Kluyveromyces lactis: one gene and its partner. The protein of the gene in region 2 interacts with the protein of the main gene of each other region in a pairwise test. Links are inferred from orthologs where the notes say so. Each region holds a gene or a part of one and is shown on either strand. Other genes may lie near its edges.

Region 1 (4,569 bases), on a different chromosome or scaffold from region 2:
TGAGAGTAATCAGAAATCTATCCCCCAATATGTCGGCTTATAAGTTGGTGGTTATGCGGCCCCTCCATGTATGTAGTTTTATACCTCTTACTTCCATCAGCTGTGCAGTGGGTAGTCTCTCACCAACGGGTTTACCAGTGAAAATCGTATTGCAGCGGTGAATTTTTCAAGCTTCGAAACCTTGAAGACTTTTAAAGCTCAACAAAAATGTTTAAATGTTTTCAGAAAAGATTTAAAGGTACATTGAAGAACTTCTTGGTACTCGATCTGAGTTATTAGTTGGCCTCTCGTTTTCCCATTCATTCATTGTTATCCTTCTTTTTTTAGTTTGGTTTACGTTAATATTAACTCAGTAAATTATACTTCGGCAACAGTTTATAATCCCTGAATCATGTCCCAACCAGTACAGAGAGCTGCTAGTCAATCTTTGATTTCCAAATACATTAACAAGGAAACTTTAAAGTATGTCTTCACCACACATTTCTGGGGTCCAGTTTCAAACTTCGGTATCCCAATTGCTGCCATCTACGATTTGAAGAAGGATCCGGAGATGATTTCTGGACCTATGACGCTGGCTCTAGTGATGTACTCTGGTGTGTTTATGAGATATTCCCTAGCTGTTACCCCAAGGAACTTCTTGTTATTCGGTTGTCACGTTGTGAATGAAACAGCCCAACTTGTGCAAGGTTACAGATATTTAAACCATCATTATCTAGGTGGCAAGAAAGCTGACGCTACTGACGCCAATGTCGCCAAGACAGCCTAGATGCAAGAGAAAATGTAACCTGCCGACAAAACAACATTCTTTCTCCCATGGCTTAGATTACACTACTGTGTAGGTCTGTTATCTAAGATTTAATGCTAAGTTTATTTACGTACTGTATATTATATGTCTATATGTTCAATTACAGTTTATGAATTCATTTCGAAATGAAAAATAAAGTACTTCTTTCGTTCTTTATTATCAAGAGTCGAACAAACCTTTAGGTCTGTCAGCTTGTGTGGGACCCATGCCATCATCTTCTTCCTGTAGATTGAGATCTTCTTGGATTGCTTGTCTTTTCAAATTATTTAGATAAGCAGCCTTGTTCATTTCTCTTTGATGAGATTCATCTGTACCGACATTGTTCGATTCAATTGTTCCTCCCCATTCGACAGTTGTTCTCATTCTCTTTACTGGCTCGCTAATTGACGGCTCGGTTGTTGTGTTCGATGGTGTTGACTGGGAGCCAGTGTTTGAATTGGGAGTAGTGTTACTATTTTGTTTCCCCCACCTTTTAAACCTGAATTGCCTTCCTTCTTCGTCTTCGTCATCATCATCTGCTCCATCCTCATCCGTTATAAATAGTGAGCGTTTTGTATGTGGATACAGCATCTGCTTACTTTCCGGCCTTTGAAGCTTATCTGGTTTCACTACGGTATCCTTCTTGATTGGTGAAACTATCTTTTCTGGTGACAGGTTAAATTGGGTGACAGAATCCTCTGGTTCTTCGACCCTACCCTCGGTATCAGTTACCTGCACTAATTCCAATACAACCCCATCTTTTGTTATTTCAAAGAGAATGGGGTCACCAGGTTGGCAAAACCAGATTCTTATCATGTCATTTGTTTTCCAACAATTAAGTCCATTTAAGAATACTTTGAAATCTCGTAATTTGAACGTAATGCTCTTCTTAATACTTTGTGATCTGCTTGAAGGTCTCGAACCGTCGTTTTTTTCTGTTGAAAATATGCAGTAATGTTCTAGATCATTTGCGCTACATGTATTCGTTACTGTAACTGCTTGTTTGAGGTACCCTTGACTTTTCATGTTGTACACGGCTTTTGTAAATCCTATTATGGCTAGAGTATGTCTCGTCAATTCCAATTTTATTTCCTCGATCACATTAGACATAATAGAGTCAATGAAGTTTCTTAGTATTGATTGATCAAAACTTAAGAAGTTGATTTCGTCGTTAACCGTCAACGGTGTATTTTTCACTGTGCTCACAATATTGTGTTCATTGGCGATACCTCTATTAAACATATCATGTTCTAATTCTGTTTGTAAAGATTTGAAATAATCCACTAACCGAGGATCTAATGATCTGCCCTTACTTTTGTTGTTGTATACTGAAAGGAATTTTTGTTTATATTTCAGACTTAATATGATCTGAACACTTTCCAATGGATCAAAATTAACTTGATATTCTTTAGTTAGCAAAGATGCTGTCTTCATTTTGATTATGAGTTTGTTAGCTATAGTTTCAGAACAATTATCACAATTGTCGATAGTTAACATGTATTCTTTAATTGTATCCTCTTGTTTAAGTGATAATAGGGAAAGATACTTTGCATTCGCTTTGAAACTATAAATTGTGTGAAGAATGTCATTACAATCGGTGATCTGCTGCACTCCAGATTCACCAAATACAATCTTCTTCGGCTCGAAGTGATACTCTGTAAAGAACGACTTAGGAAATCGTACCTTGGCCATGGTCGTGTCTGTTGCATTCATGGATGATATCAATACACCATTTTCGGTGATTGTTATGAAGACATCAGGGTTTATTTGAGAAAGAGTTGCCAAGCATTTACCCCATATGGTCTGTTCATTCGTGCTGTTTATGGAAGCACGAAATGACATTGCAATGGCCTGTTGTCACAACTTCCAGTCAGAATCCCTTTATCTGGCGGTGATAAAAAACTCTTCACTAGATCTAAAGTTCGTGTTTTTTCTTGCAATTACGTGATTTATCTTTTTACAGATTAAATATTTGAACCTATGTCTATAAAGAAATAGTGCGAATGGATTAGTGATTATATTAATCTGTTATTATGATTCGTTTGGAGCTAGAGAAATTGCTGGAGTTGAAGCTTTTTCAGCGGGCTCTTTATATTTTTTCTTAGTCTTTTCCTTCTTACTGCCATCTTTGGTTTTCTTCTTCTTTTTCTTTTTAATAACTATGACTTCTTCTTTGTCATCTTGGATGGCTGTTAAATTGTCACTAATGTGTTGTTCTGCAAGTTTATTTTTTAGCTTTTCCAACTCCTCTTGATCAACAGTGTATTCACCGTCGTAATCAATGTTATCCTTTCGACTAAAATCAAAAGATTTGAATTTATTCGATGTGGAAAGAGTTATCGCATCTGAATGCCCAGAAGTATTTGATTTCTTCTTCCCCTCCTTTGTGATAGTGGATGGTGGAGCCACTACAATATCTGACAAAATTTGTACAGATGGTGACTTATTAGATTTCTTCTTTTTCGTCGAAATTTTGATGACGGGTTCGATTGTTTTTGTTTCACCCTCATCATCGTTATCACTCAATTCTATCAATTTCGTTTCTGCACGGTCAATTTTATCATCATTCAAATAAAACGGATTATCCAACCTCTCTTGTCTTCTGCGCTCTTCTAAAGCAGCAAGTTCTTCTTCTGTCATTGAAATGTCTTTCTCTGACGAGATATCCTGAGTTACAGATCCGTCAGAACTTCCAGCGCTTGCAGCAGATTTAACGCTCTCCTTGTCGGAATAATATGCAGCTTCATCTTCATATAGTTCTTCATTTTTCATTAATTCTTCGAGTTCAACAGAAGATAAAAATGGAGTGTCTAAATCGAGTGTTAACGCCTTAACCAACTGCTGTTGTTGTCCGTGTGACATTGGGCCAAGTTCATACTCATTGAAAAGACTAGGTAAAACGTCGGTAATTAATAGAGGTAACCCTTCCGTTTCATCTTGCAAAGCATCTTGACAGAGTTTTAACATTTCATAGAACTCTACGCTTCGTTCTTGTATATCAAAATTCGTTGATCTGTATTTTTGTTCCATGAATGCGATTAGTGTAGAAAGAAGATCTGATATTTCAGATTTGGTTCTACCCTCTGTGTTAGCATAGGTTGAGAATAATTTCACTAATGCAGGAATCATTGTCTGTATCACGGTGTCTGGAAGTTTATTGGCTTTGTTTAGGAGTATGCCAACGAGAGTGTCACAGTTATCAATTAACTCGGAATATTCCCCAAAGCACCATATTCCTTCCTTTAGTAGGTTAGGAAGCTTGGCGATAATATCATCGTTTGTAGTCAATTTGATTAATTGTTCTAAAGCCGCATCCCTCATGCTTGGAACTTTGACCATAATGTTTCTAAAGTTATCACCTAACAAAGTTGATACCTCTAAATTATTCAAATCTTGTGAAACTATACAGAGATCCGTCAATATTTTCAAGTACCAGTCGAAGTCACCATTGATATTCTCGTAATCATTTATACAACAGACATCTAAGACAGTCTTGGCAACTTTCACTTTATAGTTTAAAGGAATGTCTATTTGAACACCTTGATCATTGACATGCACTGTATCCACATCCACAAATTGCTTGATTAGAATTCTAACTAAATTTTTGATGTTGTCAGTTGATGCTATACCAGAGCATAATTCCAATACTTTGGTTCTGATCGATATATCCACATCTTTCAACAAGCCTATCACCAATTTATCATATTGCATAATGAATTCGAAGTTAATCTTACCAATATGATAGAACAACACACAACTGATGTATCTCAAGTTTGGATCAAGTG
Region 2 (4,772 bases):
GCCGCTGGAGGAACCGAAACAGAAGACTTTGTTCCCATTTCCCCCACAGAGTTAAGGAATTCCTGGCCAGCAGGAATAACACCCGTCTGTGCAGTAGCTGCCACGGCAGCTACTGCACCATCAATCACGGTCTCACCGTTCTCGTCCACCATCCCACAAAGCCGCTGCAACTTAATCACCTCGTTCTCCAACATCTCCGTGTAACCCCTAGGGAACCCGCGTCTTGTAAGCTTATCACTAGTCGAACAATGGTACCCTATCTTCTTACAATTGGAACAACTAGGCTTGATACCGTCACATTTAATCTTCTTAAGCCTACATCTATCACATGCCTGTGAAAACCGTTTCACTTTTGTTGATGCCGTAGGCATCAACAATTTCTTCTCATTGTGTTTGTCGACTTTCCCATATTTACGCTTCTTACCTGACTGACTGCTACTGTCATCACTGCTATTACCAGTAGACATCTTACCAGCAAGCACGCCCTTTACATCATCCTGCGAAACACTTGGCATAGTGATATATACATATACTTGGCGCTACTACAGGAAGCTTATAGCAAGCTTACGTTCCAAACAGAAAAAAAAACATCTGATACCTACCATAAACCTTCCGGTTCATGGTTATATGGCAGAACGTTTCCCCAGGTCCGTTTGTCTTATATATCTGATTCAGAATCATGAATAATAATAATAATATTTGGCTATAAAAACCCTCGAGAAATCTAATTCAAGAAACTAAGGCAAGAAGAAACTACCTTTTAACAAGCCAAGAGAATAAACCAATGAGATAACCGAGATAGCTGGGACGTTTGAAGAATTTCCCTTAATTGATGGATCCCAGAAACTGACATTTGTGACATTTCCACAAGTGACGTTGGACATATTATTCAGTATTCGGTATGCTATAGACTATATAAGAGGGCTAATTAATATGCGTTAGTAGTGTGTAATTCCAGTTTTGCAATTGTCCCTTTCAGCCGGATCTGGGGAAAGGAAGTTTTGGGGACAAAAAAAGCGGTTCTAGGCGCGGTTTTCCGTGTAGTCAGCAAAAAAATTTGTGCAGTTATATCGGTTTATCGTAGGGAGAGTAAGGACCTGAAAGGATTTGTCCGGATGAAAGGCTAACGGGGAGAAGTCACAAGTCCGAATGGTGTATGGGTGGCGATGTTTGCCTGCTTCTTGCAATTTCACATGTGACAGATATATGAGTCAGCTGGACGGTTGCTGACAAGGATGATGACTCGACGGGGGGGGCGCCGGAAGGGGGAGATTCGCTGTAGTCACGTGGTTAGTGTTTAATTTTTGGTTTTGGTTTTCGTTTTCTCAGGGTAACCCTGGGTAGCTTGTGTTTTTCGTCCACGTGACCTGTAAACAAATGTCATTTTACAACTCTTCTCTGTTTATTATTTTCCACACATAAACGCGTATTTACACAGATATCCAATCCATCCTTCCTTCCTTCACATATGAATGGTGATGATGTGTCTAAAAAGCTGGAACAAAGGTGTAGATAGCTTCTTCTTCTTCTTCTTCTTCTTCCTCAATTCTCCCTGAAGTAGAGCAAACATGTCCGGCAAACCATTTCAAGGACTGGTGTTCTGTCCTACGTCTCTCCCGTTGTCGGTTTCTGATACCATCTCACATAAAGTGACAAAACTCGGTGGGACTTATACCAAGGATTTGACAAGACTAGTCAACGTATTGGTTGTTGGAGAGTTATTCACCGCAAAGTATAACTTTGCTGTCAAGAATAGAACTGATATCGTGTTTGTTAGTCCGGGATCCGTTGATCAGTTGTACGATGCGTGGCTCGCAGGAGAAGATCTGTTGCAGTTGGCTAAATTCGATATGTCCCAGTACTTAAAATCGAAGTACTCTATCGGGTCGTTTGAAAAATTTAACTTGTTCATTGGCAGAATACGACCTAATAACCATTATTCTCTTGAGTCGTTGGTTCAGTTGTGTAAATTGGGTAAAGTGAAATCGGTAGATACCACGCATTTCATTAGGAACTCTTCGTCATCCAATGCATGCATTTCGTTGTTTATTACCGATGATTTATCGGGGAACCGTGTCCAGGCTGCTTTAGAAGAGAACGTTCCCGTAGTGCATCCAAAATGGATCATTGATTGTATGGACAGATCAGGGACTCTAGACTTTCAATCTTTCTACCTGTTGAAAAATTGTCATGAACTTGAATACTCTGACATTGGTTCTGGTTCGTACATTCGTGACGTTCCAGATAAGAAAAAATCTGTAACTGAACCAAATCCCATGGGTGTACAAGATGATTCGGTGAATCCGTTGAAGATTGCTATAGATAAATTTAAGCCTCAAGCGAATCAGATATGGGGGAAACTATTGGCAAGAGATGGTGATGCTTCAGCGTCAAAGTCCACTGATATTAAGGAAGCCACCCCAACGCATCAAGAATGCCTTGGTGAGACAAAGGATACACCGACCTTCCTGGACTGTCACTTCGTGCTATTCAAGTTCGAAAAAAGACAGGTTACTATCTTATCTAATGTCATTCGCGGTAATAAAGGAACGTCTTCCCTCTTCGAGGATACATCACCGTCACCGGCACAGCTGAAGGATAAGACCATTTATTATATCTGTCCAAGTGGATTTCCGGCAAATCTACTGCCGAGAATCCCAAATGAATCATCGTGGTTGACAGAATTCTTCATCGAACGATGTTTGTATTACGAACAACTCCTACCTCCGGATTTTTGGTCAAAACCTTTCTACAACGATTTCAATATCATTCCACCTAAATCGGTGTTACATGGCCCTAAACTTTCCTTCCATATCACAGGGTTCCATGGCGTGGAATTACTACACATCAATAAAATTATAGACTTTTTGAAGTTGATTGGTTTTGACCATCATGAGAAATTGACGAAGAAGACGGATTTCTTACTCGTTAACATCTCCCAATTGACTTCAATACCACAGGAACATACTTTAAGGCAAAATAAGTACGCGTCAATGTTCAGGACAGATTTGGATATGAAGATCTCTGTAAATCAAGCTCAAATGTTTAGAAATTCAATGAAACGGAAAATTGAATTCGTTAAGCAAGCTCATCATATTCCCATCCTAACTCCAAGTTTTGTCATTGAACTCTTCCAAAGAGCAATGAAACCTAATAAGACTTCCATGAACATCTACTTTAATGACGTTAATTGGTGTATTTCTTGTCCCAAGGGTTCTAAATCTGACTTTGCACTACAAATAATTCCAAAGGAAAGAGGAAACGAGGATCCTTTGCTAGAGAAACCCGCTCCTGTTGATATTGCGGCACCTCTGTCAACTGCCTCTTCTGCATCAGCAGAACTACCTCATGTTCCAAATAGAGGGAACCGTTGGGGGAAACTTCTTTCAAATAATGTAGATACAGAGAATGAGGAATCAAGCTTTATCCAAACTGTAGGTCATGATAGTGACCATCTTTCGCATACTCAGATCACGTACGGATCAGCATCAACGTCGACATCTGTGCAGCAGAATTTGAAAAGAAGGAAGATTTCTACCAGAAGCCAAGCTAAAGACATCATTTCTCATGTTTCATAAATCTCATGTATTATTACGTCACGCCATATATATGTATGTATATATGTATACATATCCATTCGGATATTATCTGTAACAAGATCATTAACATTCTTATTCTGCTTAGAAGTGCCTCTAACTCCTAAATGTGTGTCATTTTTACGTGTCTGAACCTATATTCCAGATTTACTCTTCTGTGCATGCTTCCTTTAAAAGTGAAAATATTGACAAGTGTCATTCTACCTGTTTATTAAGCTCTAGATCAATGAAGGTTCAATAAAGGAAGTAAGTACAAGAAACGTATACAGGCTCGGGGATATCAGACCATGGATGCTTCTGGTGTAATTGATGAATTGAAACACCGGAAGGAAGCTTTCGTTACCGGACACTCCGGAAGTTCAATTGCAGATTTACGAGATGTCACATTAGCCGGTATTTTTTCTAACGCCGCTTGGATCTACGTCGTTTCGAACAATCCCAGCTACCGGGACTCCTTCTGGTTAGATTTCTTATTGAATTGGATGGGTCTCCTCTGTAGTGTTACTGTATTTGGGGAAAACCCATTTCTTACAGGTATATTAGGTTTAAGTGCGGTGCTATTATTTGGATGTATATCTAAGGGAAGTAAACGCGAAACGATTAAAGAAACTGTAATGGACAATGGCAACCAGTCAGCAACCCTCACAGTGTATAGGAGTACAATGCTGATCTTAACTTCCATTGCCATATTGGCTGTAGATTTCCCTATCTTTCCTAGGAAATATGCCAAGGTAGAAACCTGGGGCATTTCATTGATGGATCTAGGTGTTGGATCGTTTGTATTCAGCAATGGTATTATAAGTTACAAAAGATTAAAATCTGGAACTGAATTATCCAAATGGGCTAAAATTAAACAATCATTAAGGTCGACGGTGGTACTAGTGGTATTGGGTTTCATTCGTTTGTTTTCCGTTAAGGCTGTAAACTATCAAGAACATGCAACCGAATATGGTATCCATTGGAACTTCTTCTTTACCCTTTCATTACTACCCCTTGCAATGATTATTTTCGATTTCTACAACATGAGATTGAGATTTGTTATAGGTTTGATTGCAGCCATTATCTACGAGCTTTGCCTGATATACCATCCAACCTTTCTGGACTATTTGTTAAATGCAGAACGAATAGATTTTATTTCTGCGAATAGAGAAGGAATCTTTTCGTTTGTTGGTTATT

The links.
Region 1: the proteins of DPB11 (region 2) and DDC1 interact in a two-hybrid assay, tested with the Saccharomyces cerevisiae proteins (5 studies listed by BioGRID). The link is inferred for Kluyveromyces lactis from reciprocal best matches to the Saccharomyces cerevisiae genes DPB11 and DDC1.

What each region holds. Positions count from the first base shown.
Region 1 is NC_006041.1:1,723,135-1,727,703, forward strand, and holds DDC1 (Ddc1p), read right to left. Parts: upstream 2,627-4,569; coding exon 965-2,626; downstream 1-964. Other genes in the region: pyruvate transporter MPC1, read left to right, coding at 392-766; APL5 (Apl5p), read right to left, coding at 2,816-4,569. UniProt on the Saccharomyces cerevisiae protein: Component of the checkpoint clamp complex involved in the surveillance mechanism that allows the DNA repair pathways to act to restore the integrity of the DNA prior to DNA synthesis or separation of the replicated chromosomes.
Region 2 is NC_006042.1:1,324,668-1,329,439, reverse strand, and holds DPB11 (protein kinase activating protein DPB11), read left to right. Parts: upstream 1-1,568; coding exon 1,569-3,578; downstream 3,579-4,772. Other genes in the region: SIP4 (Sip4p), read right to left, coding at 1-515; GWT1 (glucosaminyl-phosphotidylinositol O-acyltransferase), read left to right, coding at 3,884-4,772. UniProt on the Saccharomyces cerevisiae protein: Has a role in the initiation of DNA replication. Required at S-phase checkpoint. Required for the association of PSF1 with origins. Also required for the proper activation of RAD53 in response to DNA damage and replication blocks.